Lepisosteus oculatus: one gene and its partners. The protein of the gene in region 2 binds, or shares a complex with, the protein of the main gene of each other region. Links are inferred from orthologs where the notes say so. Each region holds a gene or a part of one and is shown on either strand. Other genes may lie near its edges. The genes, in order: rgs2, gnai3, grm4 and casr.

The links.
Region 1: the proteins of gnai3 (region 2) and rgs2 are in contact, whole or in part, in a crystal structure (PDB 2V4Z), measured with the Homo sapiens proteins. The link is inferred for Lepisosteus oculatus from reciprocal best matches to the Homo sapiens genes GNAI3 and RGS2. Residues at the interface, in NP_006487.1 of Homo sapiens: Val179, Lys180, Thr181, Thr182, Gly183, Ile184, Val185, Gln204, Ser206, Glu207, Lys209, Lys210, His213, Ala235, Glu236, Asp237, Glu238; in NP_002914.1 of Homo sapiens: Glu104, Phe105, Glu108, Asn109, Glu143, Ala144, Pro145, Glu147, Ile148, Asn149, Asp151, Phe152, Leu180, Asn183, Ser185, Arg188.
Region 3: the proteins of gnai3 (region 2) and grm4 are in contact, whole or in part, in a cryo-EM structure (PDB 8JD6), measured with the Homo sapiens proteins. The link is inferred for Lepisosteus oculatus from reciprocal best matches to the Homo sapiens genes GNAI3 and GRM4. Residues at the interface, in NP_006487.1 of Homo sapiens: Ala31, Lys32, Val34, Lys192, Asp193, Leu194, Thr219, Phe336, Thr340, Ile343, Ile344, Asn347, Leu348, Cys351, Gly352, Leu353, Tyr354; in NP_000832.1 of Homo sapiens: Pro616, Lys619, Ala620, Gly622, Arg623, Glu624, Arg676, Ile677, Ile680, Phe681, Gln683, Gly684, Lys685, Arg686, Ser687, Val688, Ser689, Ala690, Ile694, Ser695, Pro696, Phe781.
Region 4: the proteins of gnai3 (region 2) and casr are in contact, whole or in part, in a cryo-EM structure (PDB 8SZH), measured with the Homo sapiens proteins. The link is inferred for Lepisosteus oculatus from reciprocal best matches to the Homo sapiens genes GNAI3 and CASR. Residues at the interface, in NP_006487.1 of Homo sapiens: Ala31, Lys32, Gln304, Glu308, Lys314, Asp315, Thr316, Lys317, Glu318, Ile319, Tyr320, Thr321, Phe334, Asp337, Ala338, Thr340, Asp341, Ile343, Ile344, Lys345, Asn347, Leu348, Glu350, Cys351, Gly352, Leu353, Tyr354; in NP_000379.3 of Homo sapiens: Lys644, Ala645, Asn647, Arg701, Val702, Val705, Phe706, Ala708, Lys709, Pro711, Thr712, Arg716, Trp719, Phe801, Ile869, Val872, Arg873, Thr876, Ala877, Ala880, Phe881, Lys882, Val883, Ala884, Ala885, Arg886.

Annotation. Positions count from the first base shown.
Region 1 is NC_090704.1:12,398,976-12,406,548, reverse strand, and holds rgs2 (regulator of G-protein signaling 2), read left to right. Parts: upstream 1-4,358; 5' UTR 4,359-4,450; coding exon 4,451-4,560; intron 4,561-4,811; coding exon 4,812-4,898; intron 4,899-5,056; coding exon 5,057-5,118; intron 5,119-5,457; coding exon 5,458-5,624; intron 5,625-5,990; coding exon 5,991-6,185; 3' UTR 6,186-7,517; downstream 7,518-7,573. UniProt on the Homo sapiens protein: Regulates G protein-coupled receptor signaling cascades. Inhibits signal transduction by increasing the GTPase activity of G protein alpha subunits, thereby driving them into their inactive GDP-bound form.
Region 2 is NC_090700.1:39,983,715-39,991,745, reverse strand, and holds the start of gnai3 (guanine nucleotide-binding protein G(i) subunit alpha), read right to left. Parts: upstream 3,183-8,031; 5' UTR 2,590-3,182; coding exon 2,472-2,589; intron 1-2,471. UniProt on the Homo sapiens protein: Heterotrimeric guanine nucleotide-binding proteins (G proteins) function as transducers downstream of G protein-coupled receptors (GPCRs) in numerous signaling cascades.
Region 3 is NC_090700.1:29,443,703-29,450,844, reverse strand, and holds the start of grm4 (metabotropic glutamate receptor 4), read left to right. Parts: upstream 1-3,927; 5' UTR 3,928-5,753; intron 5,754-7,142.
Region 4 is NC_090700.1:3,911,496-3,919,112, reverse strand, and holds the start of casr (extracellular calcium-sensing receptor), read left to right. Parts: upstream 1-4,560; 5' UTR 4,561-4,744; intron 4,745-7,617. UniProt on the Homo sapiens protein: G-protein-coupled receptor that senses changes in the extracellular concentration of calcium ions and plays a key role in maintaining calcium homeostasis.

The DNA of each region.
Region 1 (7,573 bases), on a different chromosome or scaffold from region 2:
GCCTGTTACAGATATATTTGCATTACATCATTTAGGAAATGGAAAAAGTACAGTTTGTAGAGCACAGATGCTGTAAACACCTTGTGTAAGGAACCAATTTAAATCAATGACTTATGCATTGTGAAGCAGTGAAAAGCACTTTCAAATCCAAAATCAAATTAATATTGTTTATTTTCAGTTTTCCTTAGCAGTTTATTCAGTTCATGCCAGGTTACAAGCAGTTTGGTATGCTCTGACCATGCAAGTATTTAATGAGGCATTTTGAAGTTCACGCATTAATCAGCTGTAGGCGGTGTGAAAGGAAACAATTTACACATACTGTAAAAGAAGAAAAACAAAATGGAAAAAGAGTTTGTTAGTTTATGGTGGGACTGAAGAGGTGGTCTTATTTTAAAACAAATGCAGACATCTCTGCCTACTCATGTAATGCACTCACAGCTCGGCACACGAAAGGTCACAACTAAAGGTTTGCAGACTGCATACCTCAGAAATACGTGGGCTGTATTGTTTCCAATGCTCTTTCAAACAAATTACAAAGTAAATAAGCATTCTTCATATTAGTTGTGTTTCTTTTTAAAACAAACTTGAACATTTTGGTATTATGACATTCAAGAACCCCATAAATGACAAGCTACAAAACACAGTAAGTATATTTACTTTCAGGAGCATTTAATTTTTTTTTCAGTTTTAAGATCTAATATGAAAAATGGGGAAGAAGTCATAAAGTTGTTGGTGTTCATTTTCTTTTCTTTTTTTTTTCTTTTGACTTTTTCTTTTTGTTTTAAGAACATACAAACACAGATTCCCAAGTCCGCAATTGAACCCAGGCCCTCAGCATCATGAGACAGCAATACTAATACTGCACCACCACGCTGTCCTATGATGATAATGATGATGATGTAGTAGTAGTAGTAGTAGTAGTAGTAGTAGTAGTAGTAGTAGTAGTTTGCAAGATGTCAGAGAAAGATTTGTTTGCATGGAGTTAAATTGCAGTCATTATGTACAGTCAGAGTAACCTGAATGTACTAAAGGCTTTAAACATTTATAGATTTCAAAATTATAACAACTAAATTACATAGAATATTAAGGTTGAGGTATATCATCTTAATTTTAATACAAAGGAAAATGAGTCATTAGTGTAATTTTTTAATGTTTTCTAGTATAGTACTCGGTAGACTACGATTAGAGGCACTCCCTGTCAGACAGCAGTCTTAGTAGAATTTAATGATGGTGGACAGAGAGGCTCAAAATGTCCTAAGATTTTCACAATTTCTGATAAAAATAATTCCATTGTGATTTTCATTGTGTTGTGTTCCTTCTTTCTTTGACTGTTTTCAGTTTAGGGCTTTAATAGACTTAATCAGGTTTCTCTAAGAATTACCATCTATTTTCCCCTCTTGATAAAATTTTCAGTCCCTGGTGATGAGTGGCAGCCACATAAAATAAAACACCTTGCTTTATAGTAGAGATGGTGTTGCCTTAGTGATGCTCTGAGTTCAGTTTGCTCCAGACATAACTCTCAAATTTAAGTTAAAAAAAATTGTGTCATTTGTGTTTGTTCCAAAAATATTTTGCCATGTCTCTTAAATGCACAGTGTCGTACACTTAATGCAGGATTTGAGATGGTTTTGCAACACAGGCCAGCTTTGTGGAATGATCAGGATATTAACAGTAACTGCTGTTACTGTTGGTCTCATGGTGGCATTCCTAACCAGATTCCTTTTGCCCAGCTGTTCAGTTTGGAGGAACAGCCTGATCTAGCCTAGCCTATTGGTTGGGTGGTACTATACACTTTTCTCTTTGAAATAATCAACTTCACCCTGTTTAAAGGGACATTCACTGTTTTTTATTTTTGCACCCTTCTCCCGATCTGTGACTTTCGCCACCTTTATCCCCAAGACATTTTTAAAGCTTCCTGGTGTTCATGGACTATCTCATTGGGAGAACTTACAGAGACTGGTATATTTATGCTGAAAGCATGTGAACCACTGTTATTGCACACAGAGGCCATTGAATTGAACACGTAACTTTTCAAAGTAATTTAAGTAGTTTGTCAAAGGGATTAAATACTTAACCTAACAACGAAGTGCAGTGTTTTATTTTTCTTTCTGGTTTCTGGTTTCTGGTTAATGCTGACAAGATTAAGATTACAAAAATCACTGTAAAAGTGTATACATTAATTACACCAGGTGCACTTCAGGTGCTGTGTATCACTGCCTCCCTTATAAAATTCTTTTAAAATGGTAATGCTGAGGTGGTAACATTTGACACGATCAAGACAAAGTTCAGAATTTTGAAATCTAGACTGTTAACAGATGATTCTTTTGCAAAAATTAAAACAAAAAAGAAACTTTTTAAGTACTGTTGCAGAAATGCTACTTATTGTGAAGTTCTAAAACATTAACCTCCTTGTGACACAAACATTATTTCAGGGTAAAAGTGGTGGGCTCCTGCAGTTGCCGAAATTAACCACATCTTTTTTGTTTCACTGTAGCAATGACCTGTGGCTCATGAAGAAAACAGTTCTATCTTTCGACAGCATTCATTTTGTGCAGTATCTGTAACATTCAGTGGCACATGAAGCAAATGTGAGCTGAGATTCATGTTTTCAAAATGGAATGAAACCTCCTGTGTAATACAAGAGGCTCTCCATTGTACTTCAGCCAACAAAATGTTTGACCACAACAGCAGTATTACCTCTACAATCTGGGAATAACTCGTTCAAACTCAAGTCTGTCACTATCCTATAGCCAGTAGGCAGGAAGCTTGAAGTCCCTAGTGCCATTATTAAACTAACTGCATGGTCACTGCATAAGATTAATTACAGCTGGCTAGACGTTTCTCGGCTTAATTCACATTGTCAACTCCTCAGTGCTACAGGAAACCTGCAGGATACTGGTGTATTGACAGGGTGTGGCGTCATGCCCTTATGAGTTTCTGTTTAGGATTGCAGTTGGAAAGGAAATGATTGTCTAAATGAGTGTATGTCCTGCGTACAACTTTGAGGTGTCATTTTCCACAGGTCAGATCAGGAGCAGAGCCCACGTCAGTCTGCAAATTATTTGGTGATTATAATTACATCATTTGATAAATTACATATGAGATTATGATGCATGTTTTTCTTAGATATGTTAGTCTATTCATTTTTTAACCAGCTTTTCCAGTTCCTGGTCGCAGCGGAGCTACTGTGCTGGCCCGTTTTTGATCATTTTGAAATGTGATTTTTTTCATTTATCTCACTTCTAAATAGAGCCTGTGCCCTTGATTTGTTAGGGTTATAAATATTTGTCACATAAAATAACTGGCATTTTCATTTCACCTTTTCACCTTGAATAGGTCAAAGGGTAGTGTATTTCTACTGCGTACTATACATATTATTGTCATGGCCTGTTAGGAGAACTCTGACGTGGCTCAGAGAGTTGCATCAGTCACTATTTGTGCTTTGACCACAGCTTTTAATGTTCCGAAAAATCCTGTAGATTCATAAGGATGGTCATATTTTCCTAAGGGTAAAACCACTATAAAATTTTATGACTGTGTTAATATTTACCCAGGTTATACTGTAGTTCCCTGATTCAAACAATACTGTTAACAGATCCTCTGCACTTAACACATTTAGCTTTCAAGGAAAATATACATATTTTCAAACAAAAGTATAATCAAAGTTTTTCACAGGGGTTTTGGGCAGTCAGAGGTGACAGTATTTGCAATAATTAACAATTGAAAATGAAGCTACAAATGAAAAATAAGTAAAAATATGAGGGCTTAAAAATCAGGTAATAGGACTTCAGCAGGAACCAAAGTAGGACTTTGAACTCTGTTGTTTCATCTCTGATTTTTTTATTAGTCGTCCCCATGAATGAACAACAGAAGAACGGACTTAAAATGAAACCTTTACTTCATGGGCAAATTGTCCCCCACAAAGATTCAAACTTAAAAAATAAAAAATAAAATTTAAATGAAAAAATGAAAAGGCATAAAGGACCTTTTAAAACATGAGAAGCACATAACTTGTCAAGAGAAGTGAGCATTGTGTTTTCCATGGGAAAAAAAAAAAGGTTTCTGTTTCTACCACAACCAACTATAGACAGACTCCAATGCCAAATTCACCAGTGTAGATAGCAAGCATGAAGAAACTGAATTACAGCTATGCTCATCTGATAAAGCAAAGTGTTAATTTTCTGTACTTTAGCAAGAGTTACGCCTGTGCTTTGCCTGTGGCAGTACTTTGTGTACTTTATACGTCACAGCTGTACCCTAGTGAGAACTTTTCTTACTCAAGTAACACATAGAACAATTTGTCACCAGGCAGCCAATGGTTTTCCAGAGCAGGTACATGTAAATCTAACACCGCCTCCATGTCTGAAACGCTACACAGAGGACATAAAGCTCCACACAAACCAGATTGAAAAAGACAGTGAGGTCTGTAGGAAGTATTTGTGAATAAAGGATGCAGAGTACATTATTTTTGCCCCTGTTGTACAGCTCAGAACAAATGGATATGGCTTGCTTTAGCGGTGAAGAGATGTCAGAGGTCCCAGTTGAAAACAAGAGAAACAAGTAAGTATCTAAATAATGATAACATTTGCATTTTCACTATGATTTATAGATTCTTCTACAGTGTGCAAGAGTGGAAAATATGGCATAAATATGCTTATATAATTTTTAGCAGTACATACTGTACAATGCAGTGTAGTGTTTAACTATAATCATATACTACAACTAGGAACTAGAGGTAATAATAAGAAGAGAAGCTGTATACAAGGACAGATACAGATACCTATAATGTGGCATTTTGTTTCCAATAACAGACAAAATAACTGGAGATCAAGGATAAGCTACTTCTTGCAAAAATCCTCCTCTAAGGAAGCCCATTCCTCAAGACGTAAAGCCTACAGGTAACATATACAATCAGATTTTAAACTTTTTGAAAGATATGTTTAAGAATACATGTTAATTATATATGGCTTACTGTGGGATTTTAATTTTGCATCTGAGTGTTATTGATGACACTCAGTGAAATTTCATTCTAAAAAATCATGTTCTTTCATGACAGACCTACAGTTGAAGAAGTAAACCAATGGAGTCAGTCTCTTGAAAAACTTCTGTCACATAAATGTAAGTTTTGTTTTCTTTCTTTATCATGTCAAGGATTTTGAAGTGAATATGCTAGACATCAGAGCGGGGCCTAAGTCAACAGGGCACAGGAATTTGTTTCTGTCATTTGTCTCTCAATTAATATATGTGCATTAACAGAAAAAAGTGAAACAGAGAAACAATGCTACACACATGCTGCAGTGGGCTTATGATTAAAGTGGCTTTGTGTAAGCTTTGTGTTACTGCTTGGTTTTGCAAGTACGTTTACAATGTTTTTCTGTCTACATTATAGTATTTGTTCGATAAGATGTTTATTTTTTCCTTCCTTTTAAAAGTATTATTTTCTCTCATGTATTGCAGATGGACAGGCTGCATTCCGGATATTCCTGAAATCAGAGTTCTGTGAAGAGAATATCGAGTTCTGGCTTGCCTGTGAAGATTTTAGAAAGATCAAGTCACCAGCGAAGCGAGCCTCTAGGGCAAATACAATTTATAACAAATTCATCAAGAGTGAGGCCCCAAAAGAGGTCAGTATGCATTTAATGACATTATTAAAAAATGTTTCGAATGGGTAGCTGCATCAGCATGCGTAGGCTTTAAAGGAACAAGTAATAGGTTTATTCCATGCTGAAAATGTTGTTTCGGCCATGGAGCTCACACCTGAAGAAGGCTCCACGGCTGAAACGTTGTGTTTTCTTTCTTCTCTTTTCAGCATGGAATAAACTTATTACTTGATTATTTAAAAATGACTACATTACTGACACCTTTAATTCCTACATGCTCTACTCTCTTACTTAAATATAATTTCTTTAAAAGTGTATTTATTATATATGGAATAAAATTCTTTAGAAATATTCTGACTTCTTATATCTGCTATTATTTATTTGTTTCAGATCAATTTGGATTTTCATACAAAAGATACCATCATCCAGAATCTTCAGGTGCCAATGACCTCTTGCTTTAATGCTGCACAGAAAAGAGTCTACAACCTAATGGAGAATAATTCATACCCACGATTTTTACAGTCAGAAATCTACAAAGAACTGTGGGCAATATCTCAAGGGAAAGGGAAATACCTGAAATCATGAACCACACCGGGGGCTTGCATAGTTTGAAAGCCTAAGGAGCCATAGCCTATGGCTATGGAGTTTGCATAGCCAGATTGCAGAAAATACTGTACTGAAAACAGTATCCACATCACCACAGAACTCTATGTTTTTAAAAGATCCCTTGTGAGTCCAAGGAGAAAGTTCACTGTGTGATATGAGCTGTTTTTAAAACAAAGGTAATAGGTGACCATAGAGGATGACTATAAAATTTCAGTCATAAAAAGCTTTAGGTAAAGATGCATGTAAAACAAACTTAATAACAATTTATGTATTTATGTATATACTTTCAATTTCAAGTTATTTTGTAAATTAAGTAATTCTTCCATGAGCAGTACAGTAACTAGAAAAAATTATAACCAAAAAAAGAATATATGTTTACACTAAAGTGCCTGAAACTGTATGAAAAGTCAAACATATTAAGTTAATTTGTGGAATGGTATATGAGCAAGTTACATTTTCTAGTACTTTTTCTGCTGGTCCACATGGAACCCAATTCATACCGCTAAAGACAGGTAATCACTTGATTCCAAGCATTCCTTGACTTGTAATAAGTCATGGCCAAAAATAGCTACATACTGTACATCCCATCACAATGAACAGTTTACATACTGTATAATTACTGACACAACATTTGTTTTCCAAATACGGATTGATCTTAAGAAAGAGCCCGTAAACAGAGTCCGTAAACAGTGTTTAAAGGGTAACTCTACACTTTTCAGAAATTATAATTTTAATAAGAGTTTTATTTCGTTCATTTACATGAATGATTTAATTCTTTATCTAAGACATGGCTTACATTTTAGTATTATACTGTAATTTGAAGCATTTAAAAATTCATTTCAGGAACAACAACTTCCTGTTTCTTTGAATAACAGAATTTAAATGGAAAATGAATAAAGAGTGTGTTTCCTGAACCTCAGGCAAATAAGTCAAGAATGTGAATGTACTGAATTATATATATATATATTCTTTATTATATTTTTATTTTTATTTTGTATCTTTTATTTTCTTTAGAATTTTACAAAATCACAATTGAGGTTGATTCTCAAGAGCTCATACTTATTGAATCCCCAAGTAAATGTTAAAAACACAGGAATATGTAACTGTAGGCTGCTATGTTTTTACATTAACAATTACATTTGATGATTGGATATATGACTTTCTGAACATACAGTAAACAATATTTTAGACTCAAACTGAAACAGCAGCTGGACTGCAAGTTAGTTATATTAACTTATTTTTATACTGTTGTAACAATTTACCTGGTCTGTATATTTTGTCTTCTAAATACATTTTCTTCATAATCTTGTACACCTCATTGTTGATTCAGTGTTATTGCTGCATTTAATTGCCTGTTCCATGTTTTT
Region 2 (8,031 bases):
CGATTTTCCCTCTGTCGCCTCTATTTACGACAGCCGCATCAAACAGAAAGCTCAGAAGATGCCCACAGACCCCTTCCATCCTGCCAACTCCCTTTTTTAAACTTCTCCCTTTGGGGAGAATGTTCCAAAGCATCAAATGTAGTAGTGCTCGCTTCTGAAATAGCATCTATTTAGACGTTAGGTACCTTAATATATTGTATGTATAAGTGTGTTTTTTTGCTTTTATGCAACCGTCACTAGAGAAAAATACAATCAACTTTGTTCGCATGGCAATAAAGTACTGAACTGAAGAAAGACTGAATGGGACCTAACAGCACACTCTACTGAAAGACTGCAAACTACTACTTTCTCATCTGTCCTCTTGTACTGGTAACAGGAGAAGTACAGTCTCTTGCACCAAAGCATGGTAAAAGCCCAGAGCAATCGGGAAAGGACCTCCAGTAGCAGCAACAGCCTGCTGAGAGCGGAGAGCACCAGACAGGCAGCTCATGCATGACGCAGAGAGAACAAGTCTCCAGCTCCAGCAGATCTTTCATGACCTTTAGGAAGAAAGACACCGAGCGTTTTCAAAAGTACAGGGATTGAGCAATTTAAAACTAATTAAGTCTCTTACATTAGCTTTCGCTGATCTTTGTAGGTAATGTGCTAGAAAGGCCTAACTTGATAAAATACCAAAAAGCAATGAAAGGAGGGGAAATGGTTATCTTCATTTATTTTTTCCCCTCTTTTCTATATAATAACTACTGTAAGGCTGCAGAACAGAGGTCTAGAAACGCGTTTTGTTACACTTCAACAACATATCTAGAGTGCCTTATACCCCTATAAGCCCAGGTACAGTACACTAGGGAGAAAGTATTATGAATCAGAATGAATGTATTTTAACTGCGGAGGACTGTTTCCAAAGACTACACACTTCAGTGTCTACAGATGTTCTGTATTGCAGGTCTCCGAGTGTCAAAATTCAAAGTTTTCCATAAAGCTTTGATCTAATCTGAGTAGCTGCCGATGCCACAGGCTCTCCTGATACAGCAGCCATGCAAATGCAGTATAGCTGTTTGCACTGGCACCAGGCCTGAAATAAAACAAATTAGAGCACACTGAAAGACACTATCAGCTAGCATGACCACAAAGTGGAATGTTAATGACATCATAGGACACGGAGACCACTGGCGGTTCCACAATCCCCACAGTTTGACACTCACGTAACAGTAATACTGGTTGAATGTTTTCCAAGGCTTTATCAGAAAGCTGCTTCTTCTGGGAGTCTGACAGCTCTGTAGAAGAGCATCAAGGGAACAACACAAGAGCTGAGTCCACTTTAAAGAGCTTGAGGAAAATGCACAACTACCAGGACAGCCTTATCCCCCTAAGCCTGCATTTTAATAATTAACAGAAGCGGATTGGGTGATCTAGTAACTTCATTTTATCTTTTAATCCAGAAAAGGTTCTGAAGCCTATTAAAGTCACACTACTGTTGCTTTATAGTGCCTGTCAAGCTGTGGGCAGTTGGGTGCCCTAAAAAAAACTGGATTTCGCTTCCCAACAGCTGTACAAACGCCGGGAGAAGTGCTTACAGAGCGAAGGCAAACTGATTTACTGTCAACAACGCCGGCTGTACGAACTGAATATAAAAGCATGGCTCTCCCATCTATTGTAGTCCATCTTTTTCTCTAAATCCCAGTTTTCCCGTTTGTGTTATTTCGTTGTTTGGGGGCAGTAAAGAAACGTCTAGTCAATAAGCGGCATCAGAGACTTGGCCCTCTTCCCTGTGCCGAGGGATGTTTTAAAGCCCAGTTCGCTATAAAGACGGAAGGCTTTCATTACTGTCTTGAGTTCCCGTTCCACCGCATCACGAGTCTCACAGACCTGGAACCGCCTCTGAAACTCGCGAACGGCAGACAACTCGCTGGGGTGATAACTCGCTAGACTCTGTCTCACCGTGATGAAAAGTTCAAACAATGACCGAGCAAACACGTTCCGATTTGAAATCACATACACGACAGAGCATCTTAAGAGACCAGCTATTGCGCATTACGCTCTCCGGGCAGTTAAAAACAAGCCTCGTTTAATAAAATATGGGAAATCAGTTTCTATATTTTCAAAGGACAGTCTGAACAGAGTTTGGCAAGAAAAAGACATTTAAATGTCACGACAGAGGAGGCAGTGTGGACCGCAGGGGTCAGTGCGGACACGGTCACTTGGCAGATCTGTGTCGCCCGTGAAACATTTTCTCCAACTTTTCTCTAGCACTTCGTTCCCAAGGCTGTTCCGCAGAAGCAGATGAGACATCGGAGCACTCTTCCACAAGCACAAGTTCAGATAACAGCCCCGCGATCGGCACCGCCTCCCGCTTTTCGCGGCAGCGGAGACCGACCGGGGACGCGATCTGTCCGCGACAGAGGCCAGCGATCACGGCCACCGATCCCCCCCTGCCCGGGTTTCCAAGACCGGTCACTCGGAGACGGGCTTACCAAGCAGGAGCAACTTCACCTCCCGGGCGGCCTTCTCCCCGTCCTCCCGCAGGTTGCGGTCGATCATCTTGCTCCTCTCCACCGCGGCTTTGTCCTCGGCGCTGAGCGTGCACCCCATCTCGGTAGCCCCAGATTCCCAAGACCCCAAAAAATTAGCGAGTGACGGGGGAGGGGGGAAAAAAAACTCTCTCCCAAGACAACGGCTGAGGGATTGCCGGGCTTGGACAGAAAAAAAAAATAATGAAGAGCAGTCGGAGGGTGTGGGGGTAAAAAGGCGTTGGTCACCGACTCTCTCACATGGGAAAGCAAGCAGCGAATGTTACAAAACCGAGATGAAAACAGAAGAACACCCTAATGACGGTAACTCGAGTCCCGAAATAAAATAACGGGCAAAATTAAAGGCCTGATCCCGTGGTGTCCTCGCATACCTTCAGTGTTTCGCCGAGAAGCAGGCGTTGCCCTCTCCAATGCTTTCACAAGCTGAGCATTGGCTCAAAAGAAAAAAAAACTCTAAAACAAAATCGGAAATTAAAATGCAGCCCTCCCGAAAACACAAGAAACTAACAGCGTTATAGTATCTTCCTTCCGATTAAAAAACAGTAGTCCATCGGTGTCTCACACTTTTCTCCCTTATTAAATTGGCGTTTTAAATTACTGGTGTAGCTGTCTCGCGCCGTTTCCGTTGCTCGTCGGGGGGAGAGAGAGAGAGAGGAAAAAAAATCGAATTGTATGCAAACGAGGGCAGCCACTGCACGGGAAGCGGAAATGAGCGAGCGGGGCGCAGGGGGGTGATGGGAAGTGTAGTTTGTAGGGATATGCCAGGAGTCTGCTGAAAACCGCACAATATTCTAAATAGAAATCAAATGTACATTCCGGGGAAAACGTCTTAATCTTAATTAAGAAAGTCATTCAAACATTGTGGATTAAAAAAAATCACAAAGCTGCCTCATACCAATTAAGTTAATCTTTAATCGTTTGCCTAATTTAGGTCTTGCAGTGAATTTATAAAGAAGTGTTGCAAAAGCAGGGTTAGCACAACACCAGTAGACGGTTTGGAAAGTATACTGCGGTAGAAAATTACTCTGATCATTGTACCACATATACCTAGTCTTTTAATACACTATGGATTTCTGATATTAACTTTTTATGAAATACCTTATTTTACTGCTCCACCGTTTAAAAGCAAGACATTTCCTTCCCATTTCAGAGGAAATCTTACGGAATCCAGAGGGTGACGTTTTAAAATAGCTGGACAATTTAAAAAAAATATTTCTTCTGAATTTCTTTTGTGAAATGAGTCTGAATTGGTCTTGGTCGTCTGGTTTCTGATTTCCTGTAATTCTCCTTGGGGCGATGCTAAAATGTTTAACGCACGTTGAAAATGACAAGGTTGAATTTGTCTCTGCTTTCTTAAAGCATTTTCATCTTAATCTCCCCTAACTTTTAACAATACTCTGCTCCTATGATTACTACTACCGACAATACTAATATCATAATAGTGTTAGTCAACTCTACATTTGTTTAAATGTATCAATGCAACACGTTTCGTCTTCTTGTTCCTGCGACTCCGTATTCTGTCAAGAGTCCCTCGGTGCGAGTTCGTCTGAAGTACTTGAGCGCCGTCTTGTGGACCGACGGAGAAAGCGCAGAGGAGCTCTCGGGACAGTGATTAAATATAGTATGAGTGTACTGAGCAGATACACTCATACACACACACACAAAGAACCATTCTGACCGTATAATATTATCAGCTTGTTATTAACAGTTACTCTTAACTTGCCTATACCCGTTTATCTACTGTTAACATTTTTAGCTTTCTGCATTTTACCTAGATTACCCTCTATGCGCGTCATGAATGTTTGGCAGAAGATCGTGGGATACTTTAATAAACGTATATATACGTTTTTAAAAAACGTGCTTAAAATCTGAGTACTACAGACTGGGTTTGATGCTGCTTATTAAAAAAAGGCAGCAGGACAGCTTCCAGAATACCGGATCTGTTCTGAAAATGTAACGCCGTGGTCACCTCTAAAGGTCTCCGTTTAACAGTGTACTTAAAACAAGTACAAGGCGATGCCCTTCACTACGCTAGTGTCCAATCCCCTGCAATTGTTTTTAGAAGCAGTTTCCGACCAGCTCCATTCTGGACGCCCTCGAGAAGACAACAAACCCCCATTTTCGCCGTCCTTACAGGACCCCAGAGCTCGAACCCCTGCCCAATACGTCCAGTTGACGAGACGGGACAGTCCGCACCCACGATGCACAGAGCAGCGCGCTCACACAGCCGGGGCTATTTGGAGAGGCCAGTTCACGTGCAGATCCTGTCGCTGGGAGGTGGGAGGAAACCCACACGAACGGGATAACATGCGAGCTCCCCCCCATACTGCCAAGGCGCTCAAGACTGGACTCGGGAAGAGTGAGGCCTGGGAGGGCTCACCGCCAGTCCCGCCTATACTACCCACCCTGAGCACAGAAACGGCTGAACGCAGCCTAAGCCGCGGGTGAAAAGACCTGGCTTTATCTTGTAGCACACGCGTGGAAAGCTCATCCTGAACCCCAATCCGCTGCGCCACTCAGCTCTCGCTCTATTCACGAGTTTTTTTCCAGAAAAAGTTTATGAAATGTACAGATAGCCGCTTGGAAACGAAAAGGGATTCATTTTCCTTGCAGTGAAGTGAGCAAGGATTAAACGGAAGCAACTTGTTCAATCGTGTAAACCTTCTGCACAACAAACATTTCTTAAACAAGCGTTTGAAAGGTTGCACAACTTCTGTAAACGTTTTCGTGATCCCCGCGTCTTCTACAACTGTTTTCTAAACAAGACAATACGGTTTATTCTCCCGACTTCCTAAATACGGGCGCCCGAGACTAGGTGTTACATAATCGAAGAAGAGGGTTTTCGCTGTGGGTGTATCTCCTCCCTCATCTGGACCCTATCGACAGCGGTGTGCGCTTTCCTCCTTCTGCTCAAACACTCCCGCACTACCCTATATCACTCTGGACCATACCAGTCCTACCGCCTTGCAGTTTTTATAGGTGCGTCTTAATGAGCAGTCAGTTAAGTCTCGTAGCCGGGGGCGGCAGAATTGACCAATTAAAGCAATGCATTAAGAAATTGAATGGTCTGGAATGTAATCCCAGAGTCCCTTTTGTTACTGCACTAACGAAATATACTCCATGTTTTAGAACAAGGGTCTCACACTCATTTCCTGGAGGGTCTTCTGGATTACAGAGTTGGTCTAATAAATTAATTAGCCGCGTAATTGTTATACCTTTAAACAAGGTCCGAGGTGAAATATAGCTAACTGTACCTTTAATGAAGAGAAGGTCTTGTGCAATCACCTGTTAAAAGACCCACAGAAAATATGACATATGTCAGATTTAGAAAATAAAATGGTTTAATTGGGTGTTCGTGTTAGATCAGTAACCAGAAGAAACAAGGCCCTCCACGATCTGGATATTAGTAGTGCCTCTGTAGTTTTATTTTCAAAGAGGTTAAAACATATCAGGTGCACACTTGCTTTGTTATTTCAATATATTTATGAATCCAGAGAGAGGGTTGAAACGGTCTTTCCTCTTTTTCACTGATGTCCCATCAATTCAAAATCGGTCAGGGGGAAACGGAAACGACACGAAAATGTCTTTTGTGTGTCGTTTACCTACAGTGTGTGAATTAGGTACGCTGGTGAAAACTCTAGCCTCCGGCGAAACTACAGTGCAGACGGGACAGTTAAAGACACGGGCGGCGCGGCGCGGCGCGGAGCAGCGCAGGGCTGAGGCCGGCCGGTGAGCAGGGCGCGTTCAGGGCGCCGGGATGGAAGATGAGGCTGCGCCCACAACCGGATCAAAACCCACGGCGTGAGTCAAGCGGAAGGGTTCAAGGAGGAGGCCCTGAACGTCCTTAAACGCTGCCGAGCTAAACTGGAGATATGGGAGTGGGGGAGGTACAGTAGCTGTCTTTTAACACAGGGCTCCTCCTTCAACTAGTCCCCGCTTCCCCCTTCTTCTCCTGAAAATAAAAATGTCATGGAGGACGGGTTGTCATGGTAACCGCGGATCGCAGAGAACCCGAAGGCATGTGGAATGGTGCTGCTGCGTTTCCGAGAGGGGGGTCGACCTCCACACACAGCATGGATGGAGAACACACGAGGAAAAGTGTCCAGCACCCCAGAGCCACAGTAACACATCGAGAGGTGTGCAAAAGAGGTCGAACAGGGAGCTCTGGGCTGAATGTGTTAATTAACCTGCTCGAGTGCTGGAATCCAAAGACCTGCAATAGAATTTATAGAGTCACGCCACCTTCTCCACTTGCTTATAGTGATTTTTGTGTTTGTGTGATTTTTGTGAGCTGGCAGAAAAGACATTTAATTACCAGCAACTACTGGCAATGAAGTTGTATTGTATTGTAGCTGTATTGTTGTGCATTTGATAAGTAAACTTTCATTTGATTTATAGAATGTCTAAGCACAACTAGGACTCATCAAAAATAAAGTGCAGTACGCAACAACACTAACTATAATGTCCACCTGCGATCAACAGGGCCTAGCTAATAGACCCATAGAGAAGTGTGAGTGATTACTGGAAAAGGCTGTAAAGATTTGATGAGCATTTTCACCCTCTGCAGCTGCTGTGCAAGCCATCAGTTTAACTACACACTACAGGGTGAAGCACACAGGGGCTGCAGCTGGATTGCGCTGACTAGAACTTGAAGAACCAGAACATGTATCCCAGTCACAGCTGCTGCTGCCCACTCGGTGCATCAGCAATAGCACTGCTGTGCATTTTGCCCTGCTGAAAGCCCCTTCTCTGCCGCCCCCAGGAGAATCAGCCCATTAATGCACTGTGAGTGAGAGTGACCCCATCTTCAGTTCACCTCAGGGCATTCCCGTTCCCTCTATCACTCCGGAGACTTCCAGCGCTCACTTTGGAGCGTTTGAATGTCGTTGTGGTGGTAATTGGGCCCTGGGCCCTGGGGGTCCCTGGGGGAGCGCAGGTCCACAGCAGTCAGGAGGGAGAGCTGAGTGGCAGGAGGAAGGATGAGCTCTTCTCCCTTTGGCAAAGGCCAAGAGGCTTTCATGTAAAACATCTGGAGAGCCAATTACAGATCCCTCTATTCCTCTCAATAAGGTATTTATTCAGAAGAACACCCTGTTTTCACACTCCCCTTGCTCTCTGGGATCACTTAAAACTTAGCAGTGTTTTGACCCCATTTTGCCTGAATTTGTCTTCTTCCTTCCTATGACAATTTCCCTGTTTTTAGTGTGGTTAATTACAATGTAGCTACGGAAAAGCTGGGAACTGGCAGCTCATCACAGTGCATTTGTGTACATATACTGCACATATCGTGATATACTGTGTATCCTTCACAATTCCTGTTACTGGGCGCATGTAGACATCCTGCGTGGTTCTGGGACCAGTATTCTTAAGAACATAAGAGCAGGTTCAATCATGACAAGGCTTTTGGGCCCATCCGGTCCGTTTGCTACTTAGTAGTTGATTGTTCCAAGCTTCTCATCCAGCTGTTTGTTGAAATAAATCAGGGTATTGGCTTCAACAACAT
Region 3 (7,142 bases), about 11 Mb from region 2:
ATAATAGAGGACAATAGCATCTATTTGTCAACACCTTATGAATGTAAATGGTGAAGCATTATGGATACAGATGTATTGAACATGACACTTGATTTTCATGTTAAAATTGAATCCTGGCATTGGCATATTCCATTTGCAGTTAGATTTCAGATGTGGGAGTTTGTAAAATCTTACTAGAGAGCATCATCAAACACTTATCCTCTTACCAAAAACAATCTAACTACCCAACAAAGGCTTGCTCTGTTCTGTTTGTAGTTGTTAATGATTTTGACTCTGTATTTTGAAGTACAATATGTAAAGTATACAGTATCATGTGTAGGCGAGAGATCTACAGCAAAATGCAGCCCAATGCAAAGTACAGTGGAAAGCACTAAAAAGGAGCAATGTGTAGTGAATCATGCTTTACAGTACCTTGTGTTTCTTATATTGCACTCTAGCATTGACGTTAAAAATGGAGCAATCCCTCTATCTGCTATCTGAGTCAGCATTTATCCTGGGAGAGTGTATTAATTATTTATTGCAATGATATTTTGGCAGTCAGTGTGTGTGGGGGGGTAACTTTCTCGTGATTTGTACAAAGAATATAGACCTTTGCAGCATACTGAAACAAAGGGAAAAAAACTGGAGCACTCTGAATTGGTTTAAAAAAGGAAAGTTTTAAAATAGCAAGATCAATGAATGTCTTAAAATCCAATTTTTCAATATGTATTGTTAAAATGCGATCAAATTAACAGAGATGAGTGGAGATTAGCTTTGCTGTTGCTTTGCCAGTTTGATCTTCTGTTTTTTCCAACAACTTTGAAGCCAGCTGTTATTGAATAGAGATTAGACATTAAGACACACATCTGGCATAAAGATGCTTTTGGGTATTCAGTATTTTGAATAAAATGCCTTTGGGGGCTTGAGGGATAAATTGAGTCTGTAGTTTTATACTACATGCTTAATTAAGCAATGAACCCCTGTAAAAAGGTATTTGATAGCATCTTAATTGAAATGATGAGTTATTTCTTTTACATCCTGAAGCATTCAAGATACAATTGCAGCTACTGTATACAATACCTTGAAAAAGAACCCTTATGTCCCGTCCCCCCAAAACAAATAAAAAGTGACAAAAAATAGCTAGCCTATGCATAGGCTTAAATACTTCAAAACTAAATCCTAAATATTGATTTATCCATTGTGTTTTACACAGAAAGAGGAAATAAAGTGCAGTCTGTAGTAGGACAAAGTTTTTATTTTTCTTTACAACAGCGATGGGTAACGCCGATGTCCAGCAGGGTCCAGCAATTAGATTAAATAGATCGCGCCAGAGACGTATTCGTTCCCTCTGTATAGGCATACAAAGTTCAGGACTGCCGAACTATGTCGAAGAATTCGGAACCACAACAATTCAGGCAATAAAATATCGCACGCAGCAACAAATTAAAACGAGAGACTCATACAGTACACTTCACACGTGTTAATACAAGAAGTTGTAATTAACTGTAAACAGCGAGATATGTACACGTTTATTTAACGACTCTTTTCATTCTTCCGGTTCAGTTATTCCTTCTTTCAACACTAAACTCTTGGCAATGCCTGCGTACTCGACATTGCAGTAAATGCTTTTTTAATTCAGCAGCGAAAGACTTGGCCGTGCACTGAGTTATGTAACTCGAGAAAACGTCACGAATGCTTTGCCGATACTGTAAAAGCCAATAATGCACGACGAATTTGAATTTTAAACGTGAATTCGAGAGGAAGTAGATAAAGAGCAGGGTAAGTGGGGAGAAAAGAAGATAACAGAGTCGGTTCCATGATTTAAACTTAGATCAATACCAAATGGAGGCAATTCATGGCACTAGACGGCGCCTTCAACCTTCAGAAGAAAATAAAATTCGTTAAGTATTGGGGGGGATAAAATACTCTGTTCTGCATCAACATGTCTGCTATAAGTGTTTTCTCTCCTATGTCTGTGACTCGTGTCTCTGTCCCAGAGGCAATGATCCTGTTCCAAACAGTGGGAGGGACAGAGAAACCGAGGAATCTCCGCAATGATCATTTGTTCTGTTACTTTTTCTGTTAGGTTCGCTGCGGACTACCGTTTACCAGGCATCAGGTCAATATTAAATCCCTTTGAAAGGGATTAGATGGATACAATGTCTTTAAAAATACAAGAAGACAGGGAAAGGATTAATGACTTCCTTTCCTTGCGTGACATGTTTCAGAAAATGTATCCTCGCATTTCAAATGCTCGGACTAAAATGCTGACAAACTGAAAAGTTTCCAATTAAGGGATTGCCAAATAATGCGTTAATTTAAGCTTTATGGCAGAGTAAAAAAAACGAAATTCCGCCGTTTTGAGTGATTCCGAGTACTATGATAGATCCTATGAATTTATTTCACTGTTCGAAATTTAGGGGACCTATTACTCGCATTTTCTTCCTCAATACAGTCCGAAATATAAGACCCTACTAGCAATAGGACCGATTGATAGTTGAACATCTGAAATTTCGAGTAGGCTACCGTTAAAACTCATTTACTCGGGAAGCCTGGCGATCAAACACTAATTACAATATAATAGCTTCAGGAACAAATCTAAGGTTAGACAAGAATCACAGAACATCTACCGGTCTTCGTCGACGACGCGAAAAGTTTAGTGACGCCAGTAAAAAAATCACTGACTTGCTTTTTGTACTCGTAAATTAATTCAGTGTATCGTTAGCGGGCAACCATCGAATAGATTCAATATCAATTCGATTTAGCAAGATACAGATGTTGGGAACACAGTATAATTAAGTGTAGATGGGAACACCATACCGAACCACCTGATTATTTGGATGAATTTCAGACCGTTTACAGTGAAATTTGAAGAATCAGTGATGGGACAGAGATTATTTCCGACATTTTAGTGGACTACACGTGGACTGCATTTAGGTTCATTATTATGTTTTGCTTGCTGGTTTTGAGGTTTTGGTTTTGATCCACGCAATCCCCTGAACGCGTAGAGGGTTAATTGCTTGACTCTGATGAAACCTTATTGATTTATGTGGATGATAAATATTGCATTATGTGCAGTATGCAGTGAACGGTGCTGATAACAGCAGACCCCTCTGCACATCTGTGTCCGGTTTGAGCGATAAAGGTTCAGAGAGGAGAAGCGTCTTTTCTCGGTCACTCAAACGCCACCCCACCCACCGCTTCTCTCTCGGCTACAAGCAGCCTGAGCCTCCGCCGGCTTGATAAATGCGAATATCTCGGAGTACAAATGATAAGTAAATCAAACGGCTGCTAGCATTTGCTGACATTTAATGCACCAACATTTGTTTCACTGTTGTAAAGGGGGGCGCTTTTCAGAGCAGAAAACAAATCTTCTTCTCCCCCTGCGTTATTTATTCGTTTTTTTTTCTAAAAAAATCAGTGTCTTGCTTTTTTGCGCTAACGTGCGCGGACTCTTAATGTCTGCTGCCCCACCTCATTTATCAGCTGTTTGCCCGCTTCTTGATCTCGGTATCCTAAGCTAAATGCTTTAACCGAGTTACTCTTTTTTTGTTCCCACCTCATTACACTCGCAGTTGCTCGAATATTTAATCCCTTTTGGTAGGATACACGTTGCTCGATTATAGCGGTCAGAGATTGACCCACGACACGACACCGATTCATGTATGGAACGAAGCAGGTAGCACTGAGAGAGAAAAGGCGATTAAACTGAAGTCACAAACGCAGCACAGGAGAAAAATACTGTTAAAGCGCGTAAAGCACACGTGTATTCCGCACAGAGACCGAAAGGGAGATATATATATATATTTGGTTACACTGAGTATTAATTAATCCCGATGACAGCATTCTGCTGCTAAACACGGGAGACGCAGGAATGTTGGTTTGCAGTTTTTCTGACCCCCAGTGTATTTAATCAGGCGACCCTCGTTAGGTGGAGGCCCGGTGCGATGCACTAGGTGGCTAATGACATGGTATTAATTACCCCAAAGATTTTTTCGTATTGAGGCGGACCTGTCTGTATTGCAGCTCATTTCTTAACAGTCACAGCCACAGTACCTCGTTCTCTTCCGTGGACAGTTTCCAGGGCAGTTGGAGCTGGGATCACCCAGCAGTGAGCAGTGTAACACAGCCCAGGCGACAGCTGCATAATTTCAGCGATGTACTGTAATAACCATCCAGTGTAGTGGCAGCGGCAGTAGCAGCAACAGCAGCCGTGCAGCGTTAATTCTTTTACCGAGGAGTCCATTGAAAAACACCGCTCAACGCACGGATTCACAGATGGGTAGAAGTGGACGCCTGTGAACTTGACGCTTTTATTATAAATATTCTATATCACACCTGCTCGTGATGTTGTACGGGTTAATACAAGCTTTTTAGTTTCATTCCCTTAAAGCATCTCGGTTCGGACATAGCGGCTGGTGTCTTTTGGAGAGCATTTATGTTTCCCGTCACCCAGTTAAAAGCGCATAAAAAATCTACTGACTCCAGCGGCAGAGCCTTGCAGTTTATTAAAAAACGTGATTCATTTCGACATCAACCACCCCTGGCTATGAAAACGATTAAGTTATTCCTCGATTGGGAAGAGCTCAGCACCATTCCGTTCTAGTAAAGATTGAGAAAAGGCACATTTCGGATTATCCTGTTGTGAGAAAAAGACGGTTTACTCTGCTTAAAACACAGAATGGACACCTGTGGGACTGACTACCTTCTTGTTGATTGCGAAAGTCGAATGGGATCATTAAAACCATAACTCGCTACCGTTTTACGCATTCCGACTTCTTGATAACTTTGAAAAGGAAACGGCAATTTCCGAGAAAGTAAACAGGGGCGTCTTCAGTTGCAAACCTGTGTGGTAGCAAATGTTTTGGAAGCACGGGATGACTAGAGAGAGGAAAACTTGGAAAAAAAATTAATATGTGAATTTCCCTTTGATTTTATTTTCCTGCGATTCCGACGGTTTTTATTGTAAAGATAGCTAGGGTAGTAAAAATCCAAGAATAAACGTATCAGCATCTAGCAGACGTCTGTTTATGCGGTTGGGTTTATTATAGTTATTCGCTTATTCGCTTCGGGTGCATTTAATTTCAAATCTGCTCGGCTAGATCTACGATCCGCTGCATTGACTTCTTAGTTCAGCCCCATTCCGGCGGGGGAGTGCGCTATGCTAATATCAGTCATTTCTCATTGCCACTAAATCTCTGTATTACAAGATTAAGTACAGCGGCTTCACACAGGATTTCATCTGGTTAGTCGTAAAGGGCTAATTTTTAATATTACACGCGAGTGGCTCTGTAGAACCACAGCTGAGTATAAAAAAGCCAAAAGGAGCCAGGAATCTGGACCTGCCTGTTAGCGCTTTTTTTTCAAGCACCACTTTTCGATGGACAGCGTTAAAACAAACTGGCGGCGTGTACGGCACTGCTCGAGTTTCTTTCGGATCTGTGCACGGTGGATTGAGTGAACTGGAATAGAAGAAGACAGCGTGCTGGGAGATGGTATAATTATTTACATCACTCCAACGAGCGAAACAAGCATCTGTGTTTTGCACCCCGACAGCAATGTGTGTGTATAGGTTAAACAATCCTCCGCAGGGCCAGCGATAGAGTCAGAAACGAGCGTGCTTTTTGCAGCTCGAATCTTTGAAATCAAAGCGAAGAAGAGGTACAAGATGCTCTGGATTCAACGTAGGGCTGCGAATTCTTGAACGCGGAGCCTCATCGTTTTGTTTGGATTGTGAAATCTGACCCCCCACACACACCGGAATTCAGTCCAAGGTAAGGCGTTTCTTCCACAAACCGGCACTTTCTTGACTTGCAAGGAAATCCGACAAGGTACGCTCTGACATCGCAGAGCGTACTTTCAAGATCCGGAATTAGTTGACAACAGAGGGAGTGTGTGTCGGCAACTGAGAGACTATGTATTTTCCTTGGCTGGGTTTTTATCTCGCAATTTATAAAGATACAGCGCAAATATCGTATGTGAAAAGCATGTACCATATTATACGTTTAATTGCATACGTTTTCCTACTTTATATAGACTGCTTTTGTCTTTTAGGGAAACAGTGTCTACTGTAACATGACATGATTTAGACCATAATCTTTATAATCATTAGTTACAATATGGGAGTCCATTGGATAATATCAAGACTATTGCAAAAATTACATTCTATAATGTAAAGTGCTGCTACATTGCAATGTTTAGTCGTGAATATAGTCTCGGTGAAAGTTTAGTTTTGCACACAAATTCGAAAGTTTTCAGTACTACAAATTAGTTTTATGACCAGTTACTGCGATTACTCTAACATACCCCAAAGCGTCGGCATCGCGTCTCAATTGTTTTTAGAAATATTATATTGCTAAATATGCCCAGAGACATGAAGGGCGAAAGGAGTTTTTACTGGTTAGTTTCAATCTCTGGTAGTCAAGCGATAAGAAACAGAAGCTGTCCAGTAAAGATAAAAGATGTGCGCCTGTTTTACTTCTCATAAAATGTATTTTTTCTGCCTTTCCCCGATTTGGGCATAGTCGGTCTTTGATGAAGCAATTTGCATATTTTTTTCAATACAACACCTGCTGAGGAGCCAATGCAATTCATGTGTACCCCCTCTTCTCTCCCTTGGTCTTTTAAATACGAAAGCTGTTAATCCGAGTCTCAGTTGACGTGTTCACGCCCCCTGCAACATAGTCAACATCAGGGAACAAAGAGAAATTCTCAGGATTTGTTTCCAAGTCGTGCCTTTTTTTCCGCTACCGGAGGTATGTGCAGAAGAATTCCCTCTAGACATTCTGAAGCGCATAGGCTGCCTCAGTTGACGGAGATCGCCGCAGATCCTTGAACAAGGAGCCCAGCGTTCGGCTTTGCTCTCGCCACTTTCAGCCTCTGCCTCTTACCCGCTTTGCCCGTTCTCTCCCGCTTTCGTCCACGTCTGTTAGATTCACCAGTGAACTTGAACTCCGGAAACAAGAAAATGTAAATAGATGATAATAAGAAGAATTAAACATTTCAGTGACGTTTTGCAATCAAGATAAAGCTACACAAATCTGTAGTGTTTTATTACTATTGCTATAATTTCTGCTGCTGCGTTTTGAGTACTAGTGCTGTGAAGTATTTTATTCTTAATTGGATGCCAGTTTTGACCATTGTAAATTCTAACTGTAGAACAT
Region 4 (7,617 bases), about 36 Mb from region 2:
TGTTCAATGTTATTTCTTTGGTTTCGGAAATATCAAGATCTGCATCTGCAGCGGTCTTCCTCTTTTACTGCAGCTGTTGAATTTCCTCACTGTGAAAAGTATCCAGAGTGAAGCACGGCTACAATACGCAGAACTGTGCCCATGTCTGCTTTTCACATTCGGAGAGTTTTATTGTCATGACTGATGAGCAGGGCCAAAGCAATAACAATTAAGGTGACATTTACAACCGCAACATCATAAAATTACCTGAGAGGCTTACTCTCATCCTGAGTTTTATAAAGGAGTTTCTTCCCCTCCTACACCAGTAGGACTGAAAGCTGTTCTGATTCTGGCGGGTCTGTAGATCTGATTTGTTATTTTAGGAAAAGAAGGTTTGTCTAATCTCCTAGTAAGTTTTATACAATGAAGCAGTAATTGCTTCTCTGTCTCTGCAGGCTGTGCGGGCACCCAGACCTTTTAAGTGTTTTTGCATTCATTTTCAGTTTGATGGATCCAGGCCTTTTGCTTTCAGAAGTGCACCGTTTTGAATGCGCACATCTGCATATGTAGTACGAGTATTTAATCCTGAATCCCGTACTCAGTGAATTCATCCTTGCACGTTGTACATTGGGGATGGGCTATTCTGGTGCTACAGTGTATAGCTCATAGTCACTTTGTGATTGAAGGTATGCAGGAATGGTAATATTATTTGTCTTCATTTGTACAATTTCTAGTCAAGAATACAGCTTCAAAATTGATTGCTGTTTTTGTTGTTCTCCTTCATGGAGAAAAACAAATTACTTTCTCATTCTCTGTAATAATGAAGATCCTTACTCTTTTCTCAGTGTCTCCTTGTCAATGGGGTTGCTTCATCGAGTGTTGACGAACCGATCAGTCAATGTTGTTGTCATTTGAGATTGCTTTTATTTTCAACAATGAATTGATTTTTCATAAGTAGGAACGCAGACCAAGCTGTTGTAAATGTTGAGCTTTCTTTACTTTTCCTGACTGTGCCTGAGGGAAATATGACTGATGTTTCTGTGACTTAATCAGAAGCCAAGAACAGATCAGATCTCTAGCTGGATATCAAATTCAAGACCATTTTCTTCTTCTGTAAAGAGGAAGAGCAATCAAATAAAATGTGCAATGTGCAGTCAATGAAATGAAATTTATAGAAAAAGAGAAATGTAATAACAGCTTGGTGTTTTAGTTGTTCTTTGTATTTTTAAAAATTAAAATAGCGTGTTAAGATTTTCCAAATGTGTTATTTAAGAGGTTGAATTATGGTTTAACAGCAAATGTGCTCAGTTCCATAGAATTGTCATGTTTTTACCTAGTGATGCTGTATTGCACAGCTTCTTCTTAAGAATTAAAGTACAATTTTTACTATGTCAGGTTTCGCACACTAAGTGTGCTTGCATTGTAAGCAGCAGATTAAAACTGAAATTGATTTTTTAAGCGAAAAGATTCCTGGACTGATATGGGAAATAATGGCTTTGTCTTTTATACATATATAATAAATCATTATAGCACTGTATGGCAGAAACATAGATTGTTGGGCCTCTCTCCCAAGTATCCAGTCAAGATGTTTTTATTTTGTGATGTATCACTATATGTGTTCATTTGTTCCTTTTTTTTTAGATAAAATGTGATCAAGAGGCATCTTAATTTTCTACCTGTGCCTGTTATATGTTTCTACAGTATAAACTTCCCTTGGTTGACTCTTTCCTATATAGTATCTATGTGAAACTCACTATTTGGTTGTGTGTTGTAAATCTGTAATTGTAATGGCATGTTTTAATCAAAATTAAAAAAAAATCATTGTATCGATACCTGATCTATTTGTTCCACGTCAGTCATTTTTCATATTCGTCTTTTTCCTTCCTTTATCTCTGTGCTTCAATGTTCAAGAAGGGGATCATCCCCATCCATGAGGCCATGTGAAATCTTCCCCACCTCTTCACTGCTGCCCATTGGAATCCAGGGACGGGATACCACTGGCTGAGGGAACTGAGGATCAAACTGCTAATTCCGGAAGCACATCTTAACACTCCTCACATCAGCAGAGGGAAACAAGGAAATGTCAAGAGCTGCACAGAGTGCAAGTTTATTTTATTCTCAAAACGATCTCTCAAGGTCTGCAGATTTCATGACGGAGATGGAGATTCTGCTCATCACTCAGCTTCTATCCCTCTCAGTCCAGAATTCCCTCGTGTCATTAGGCCCTGAATTTAATGATTCACCAGCTGACGTCATCCTTTAAGCGAGCTTGGTGGTAAACAGGAAGAAAAATAGGTTGATATATAATGCTTAAGACTAGGTTCTTCAGATTTTAATTGGTGAAGCAGTAGAGTAGACAAACACTGGTCCTGGAGGAACGTTGTCTCTTCTGTTTTTTGCACCAGCAGTTTTCCTAATGACAGGCTAAAGGATTTCAGTTTTCTACCTGGGGTATATTTGTAAATTTACTTTCAATAATTGATATAACCCTATCCCAGTTCCTGGGCCTTTGAACTACCCTCATTCAGGTGTGTAGCCTGGACATCTGGAGAAGGAAAGAAGTCTCATTATAGGCATGTCTGGCGCAGTGTCACTCCCAGTGTGTCTTTTACAGTGTCACTTTGTGTGGGCGTGACCTGACCCAGTGTCACTCTCAATATGGGTGTGTCTGATACAGTGTCACTCTTTGTGGGAGTGATCTGACTGAGTGGCACTCTCAATATGGGCGTGTCTGATACAATGTCACTCAATGTGGGCGTGTCTGTTACAATGTCACTCTCGATATGGGCGTGTCTGATACAATGATACAAAGGAGTTGAAACCTAAACATGCAAAGTGGATAATTAATTAACACTGGAGTGCAGATGTAGAACTCAGCTGGAACAGAAATCGGGAGAGACAATCCTCCTTTAGGACCAGGTTGGAAACCACTGGTGTAGCCTATATCTGGAGAGCTTTGTAGTTCCTGTCATCAAGCCAGCAGCCATATCACCATGCAACTCACAGCTGGCAGCCCACTGAAGCTCAGCAGGTGTAAGCCTGGTCAGTACCTGGATGGGAGACCTCCTGGGAAAAACTAAGATTGCTGCTGGAAGAGGTGTTAGTGGGGACAGCAGGGGGTGCTCACCCTGCGGTCCATGTGGGTCCTAATGCCCCAGTATTGTGACGGGGACACTATACTGTAAACAGGCGCCGTCTTTCGGATGAGACGTAAAACCGAGGTCCTGACTCTCTGTGGTCATTAAAAATCCCAGGGCGTTTCTCGAAAAGAGTAGGGGTGTAACCCCGGCGTCCGGGCCAAATTTCCCATTGGCCCTTACCAGTCATGGCCTCCTTATAATCCCCCTCTCTGAATTGGCTTCATCACTCTGCTCTCCTCCCCACTGAGAGCTGGTGTGTGGGGAGTGTTCTGGCGCACTATGGCTGCCGTCCCATCATCCAGGTGGGGCTGCACATTGGTGGTGGAGGGGATCCCCATTACCTGTAAAGCGCTTTAAGTGGAGTTTCCAGAAAAGTGCTATATAAGTGTAAGCAATTATTATTATTATTATTATTATTATTATTATTACCTACTGATATCATAAGTCATGTAACCAAGACAGGCTCACTTCGTACATTGCCCTGATATCAGCAGAGGCTAATGGCTGTGTGATGCAGGAGGCCGGAGATTCACGTGTAGCCATGACGATCTCTGGCAGCGAGCGGAGATTTTATCCCTAATATGATGGGTAAAGTAAATACTCACCTGTCTGTTTCATCATTACCTAATGCAGTGGGGAGTGCAAGTCGCAATAAATACTGTTACTTGGGTAACGCAAAGCTGGACCCAATCCCCTGTTGTGGTAGCCTGTGTATTTAGGAAAGAAATGTTTTTTTTTTTACTTATTTACCACACTGTAAAACTCCACGGGGGGAGCTGAAAAGTTGTAAGTTAATTACACAACCAGCTTTTATGTCCTTTTCGGGAAATAAAAAAGAAAGAGGGATACATAAATATTTGTCATCTCTGAGCAGGACAAGAAGACTCATTTGAAGTGAATGCGTGTGTGTGCTTCAGGTGGCCGGCTTGGTTTTGTGATGGGGGCACTGGATCTCCCCGCTGAAGTTACATCGTGGGCTGCTCGGCCTCACTAGCGTGGCTCCAGAGCAGTTATGAGATCCACTGAGCCCTGGCCGTGAGCGCACAGCGGAATAGCCGTGCACCCCGGGGCTGTGTGTATAATGCCGTGTGTGCTGTTGTTACAAGGTGCTGGAATAACGTCTGATCCAGTAACAGGCTGTTCTCACCAGTTTAATGTGTTAAACACACAGGGCGGAGGGAGGGGGGCAGCCCTCTCCCCCACCCCACCCCCCTCCCCTCACGGCAGCACTCAGACATGGATTGTAATTTCCACAAGACACAGGACAGCACGCCAGGACCAGCTCAGCAGGCGATCGCCTTTTTCCTGCGCGCCTCGGGTGGAAGATCCCTCCTTCCGCGCCCGCGAAGACAGCGCGTCTCATCCCCCCGGCCGCCCCGCCGCGTCGGCTTGGCTCGGCTTGCGGAGCGGACTTCGCCGAAATGCGCTGAAGAGCCAGCCTGCGCTCGGGCATCGTCTTCGGTTAATGTGTAACCGAGGTTACCGCTAAGCTGCCCTTTGCTGAAAGATACCGTGAGAAGAATTAATGCTGGAAGTGAACGAAATTGATGCCACAATCCTAACACTATAAACATAGAAGGCTCCAGTATTACTCGTGTCGTGTCATTTGGGAGCATTTTATTGAGGTAAGGTTATTTCTCACTTGGATTCCACTTTCACCGCACGAAAACCTATTAAAACTTCCTGATTATTCTTGAAATATTATTATAAGTAGTTGCCTAGGGTAACTAGGGAATTCTCAAGAGTCTTTACTGAAGGACCGAACTAAAGCTATTTGCCCGAATTGCTTGTATGTCGTGTGAAAAATGAGAGTTTAATTACTGCTACAGTTTCAGAGATTTTTAGCTAGTGGTTACAATTATGAATCAGCACCTTGAAGGCAAGAATGGAAACTTTTATGAACGAATTGTTTGAACTTAAAAAAAAACTTCTGTAGTGTGTTTTAAATTTTGTTCTCCAGATATAGTTTTGTCTCACTCTGTCCGAGACAAAGTATGAACAAAACCTACGAAGTATAACCCTGAAATCGATTTCCTCAAAATTAAGTCTATAATGCTTCATATTTTCTGTGTCGAATGAACAGCCAGTTTTTGTTTTCACAGCGCTGAAATTATTTACAAAGTGCTCAATAATTTGCATTTGGCAGCTACAGTCGCATTTTCTAAAGGGTATTTCGATATTTTGCGTCTCTGTGGAGCCATTGGCGAGTTTCACGTCTTTAGTCGGAAACAGTGTAAGACTCGGGGTGTATAATGACTTTTCCCGTTTCGTGAATACGTAGTGGACGGGGCTTCAGCACCTGAAAGTATTGCTACCGCATCGACTTTGGTCCGCAGCTTGGTACCAGATCAGCTGTCAGTATACCGGTGCCCACACCCCGTCTCAACACTGGCTGCTCCTGTCCTCTCCCGATATGCCCCAACACACCAGGGGCTCTGGTCTGCAATTAAACCAGCGCTTTCTAAAGCCTTGGAACAATTTCACTCTGATCAATTCGAAATGATTTGTCAAAATAAGTCATCTTGGAGTTCTCAAATATTTCCTTCAACACGTTGGGTTCCAGTCTTGAGAAACTGATGGTTTAGGGCTCTCCAGTTCCAGCAGTGGCGACGGCCGTCTTATTACTTTAATTATTTGCACAACCTCAAATGGAGCTTTTAAGCAAATGTATTTCCGTTTAAAAATAGGAATACTTTACTTATCTACTTTCCTGTTATCTGTTAATCTTGTCGAACATACATTTTCCAGAGCTATAATAACAATAAATATTAGGCATAGGGACAATTAAATGAACCTATATCGAGACTCTGGGTTTATCTATTTGCCTTCAAAGATATATTTGAATAGATATGTGTATAATCACCAGAGTCTGAAAGACCAGACGAGACAGCTGGCGCAGTTCTTGCAATACAGTGCAGTTTATACTGCCATCGGTTTCTGCAAGCCATCAACAAGATGAAACACACGGCTTGGATCAAGTCCAGAACAGCGCTATATAAGTGTAAAGAATTATTATTATTTATTCAGTCTTCTTCCGACTCTACTGTACATTTGTAAATACTAAGTGTAAGTTGTTTAAAGGAAGTATGCACGTCCATTCTTCCTATTCTGTAGCATTTCTTTGATCATGATTCAGACAGATGACAAAATACACACACTGCCTGCGCCAGAGCTGTCCTGCGCTGTTTCTCCGTGTCTGTGTACCATGGACTGTCCAGACAGCGTGTGTGTGCACGGTAGGTTTCACCCTGCATTCAACAGCAACTGAGAACGTTCATTTTATAATGTAAAACACTTCACATCGCTTGTTTTTTTTATATTCTCTAAACTCTACATTGAATACGTCGGATGTAAACTGAGTTTTCCGCTGTCTTTGCAACATACAAGTCAGCATGTAAAGTATCTGCCAAAGCATGCTCTGTTCCCTGACAGGATTAGGGTGCTAAAATGTTCTGCAATGACCTAAACATCCAGTAGTTTCTTCTACTCAGAAACCGGAAAAATGAGAGCTCAAAACGAATTCATAAATGTTTCAGGTGTAAATGATTAACAGGTGAATATACAATCTGTGTTGGTTTAAAAAATCAAGCTGCTGTTCTACCTAGAGGAGAAGGACAAAAGGAGTGTCATATCAATAATACACATTCTCCGTTTTTGCATGATCAAATTTCCCTTTTGGAAAGACGTCTTCTATAATAACACCACGGATGTATTGATGAAGTGACCGCAGCAGTCTGGCTGTGCTCTGCGCATTCTTGCCACATACATGTGGTGTGCGATTGGTAATCGGCAACGGTAATCAGCCTCTGTACAATCTGTGTTCAATCTTTTTTCCAGCATCACAAGTGGCAAGGCTTAGTTCATTAGCACACTCCTGCCCCTGCATTTTTCCAACGCAATTAGTCCCTCTCTGCAGGTCAATGAGACGTGGCAGGGCGCGAATCACACCAGCGCCCAGGTGCTGGCAGAGGCCTGGTGTGGAATAAGGCTACAGGGATGTGACTGCCTCTCGGAGCGCCGATCGTTGTCCTTCGCCGCCCCCCTCCCTGCCCCCTCGTGGGGCTCCACTAAGGGACAGGCACGTCTCTTGCACCAGCGGCTTTCGCAGGCCTCGTGGCTTCTCGACGCTGTTCAGATAAAACAGGGCCCGGTGCCCACCCCTTGGTATGGACTCCAGGGACATGTGGGGCTCAGTCTCTGCTGCCTGATTGTGTCTCGCTTCTCCACAGTGTATACCGTAAATAGGTGTGAGAATTTTCTGAGTCCCTTTTCATAATGTGATAAAAAATGTTTAGAAATATACATAACACAGGATAAAAAAAAACCCGCAAGATGAACAACATGTAGAAAAAAAACACTTCACTAGGCAGCAACATTGCGAGCGGATCTCAGTATAATACAGTATAAATTAAGGTCACTGAACATCAGTAATACCATTTCCGGATTAATCTCTGAACTCTGATCATGAAGCAAGTAATTGTTCTCTCCTCTGACGTGT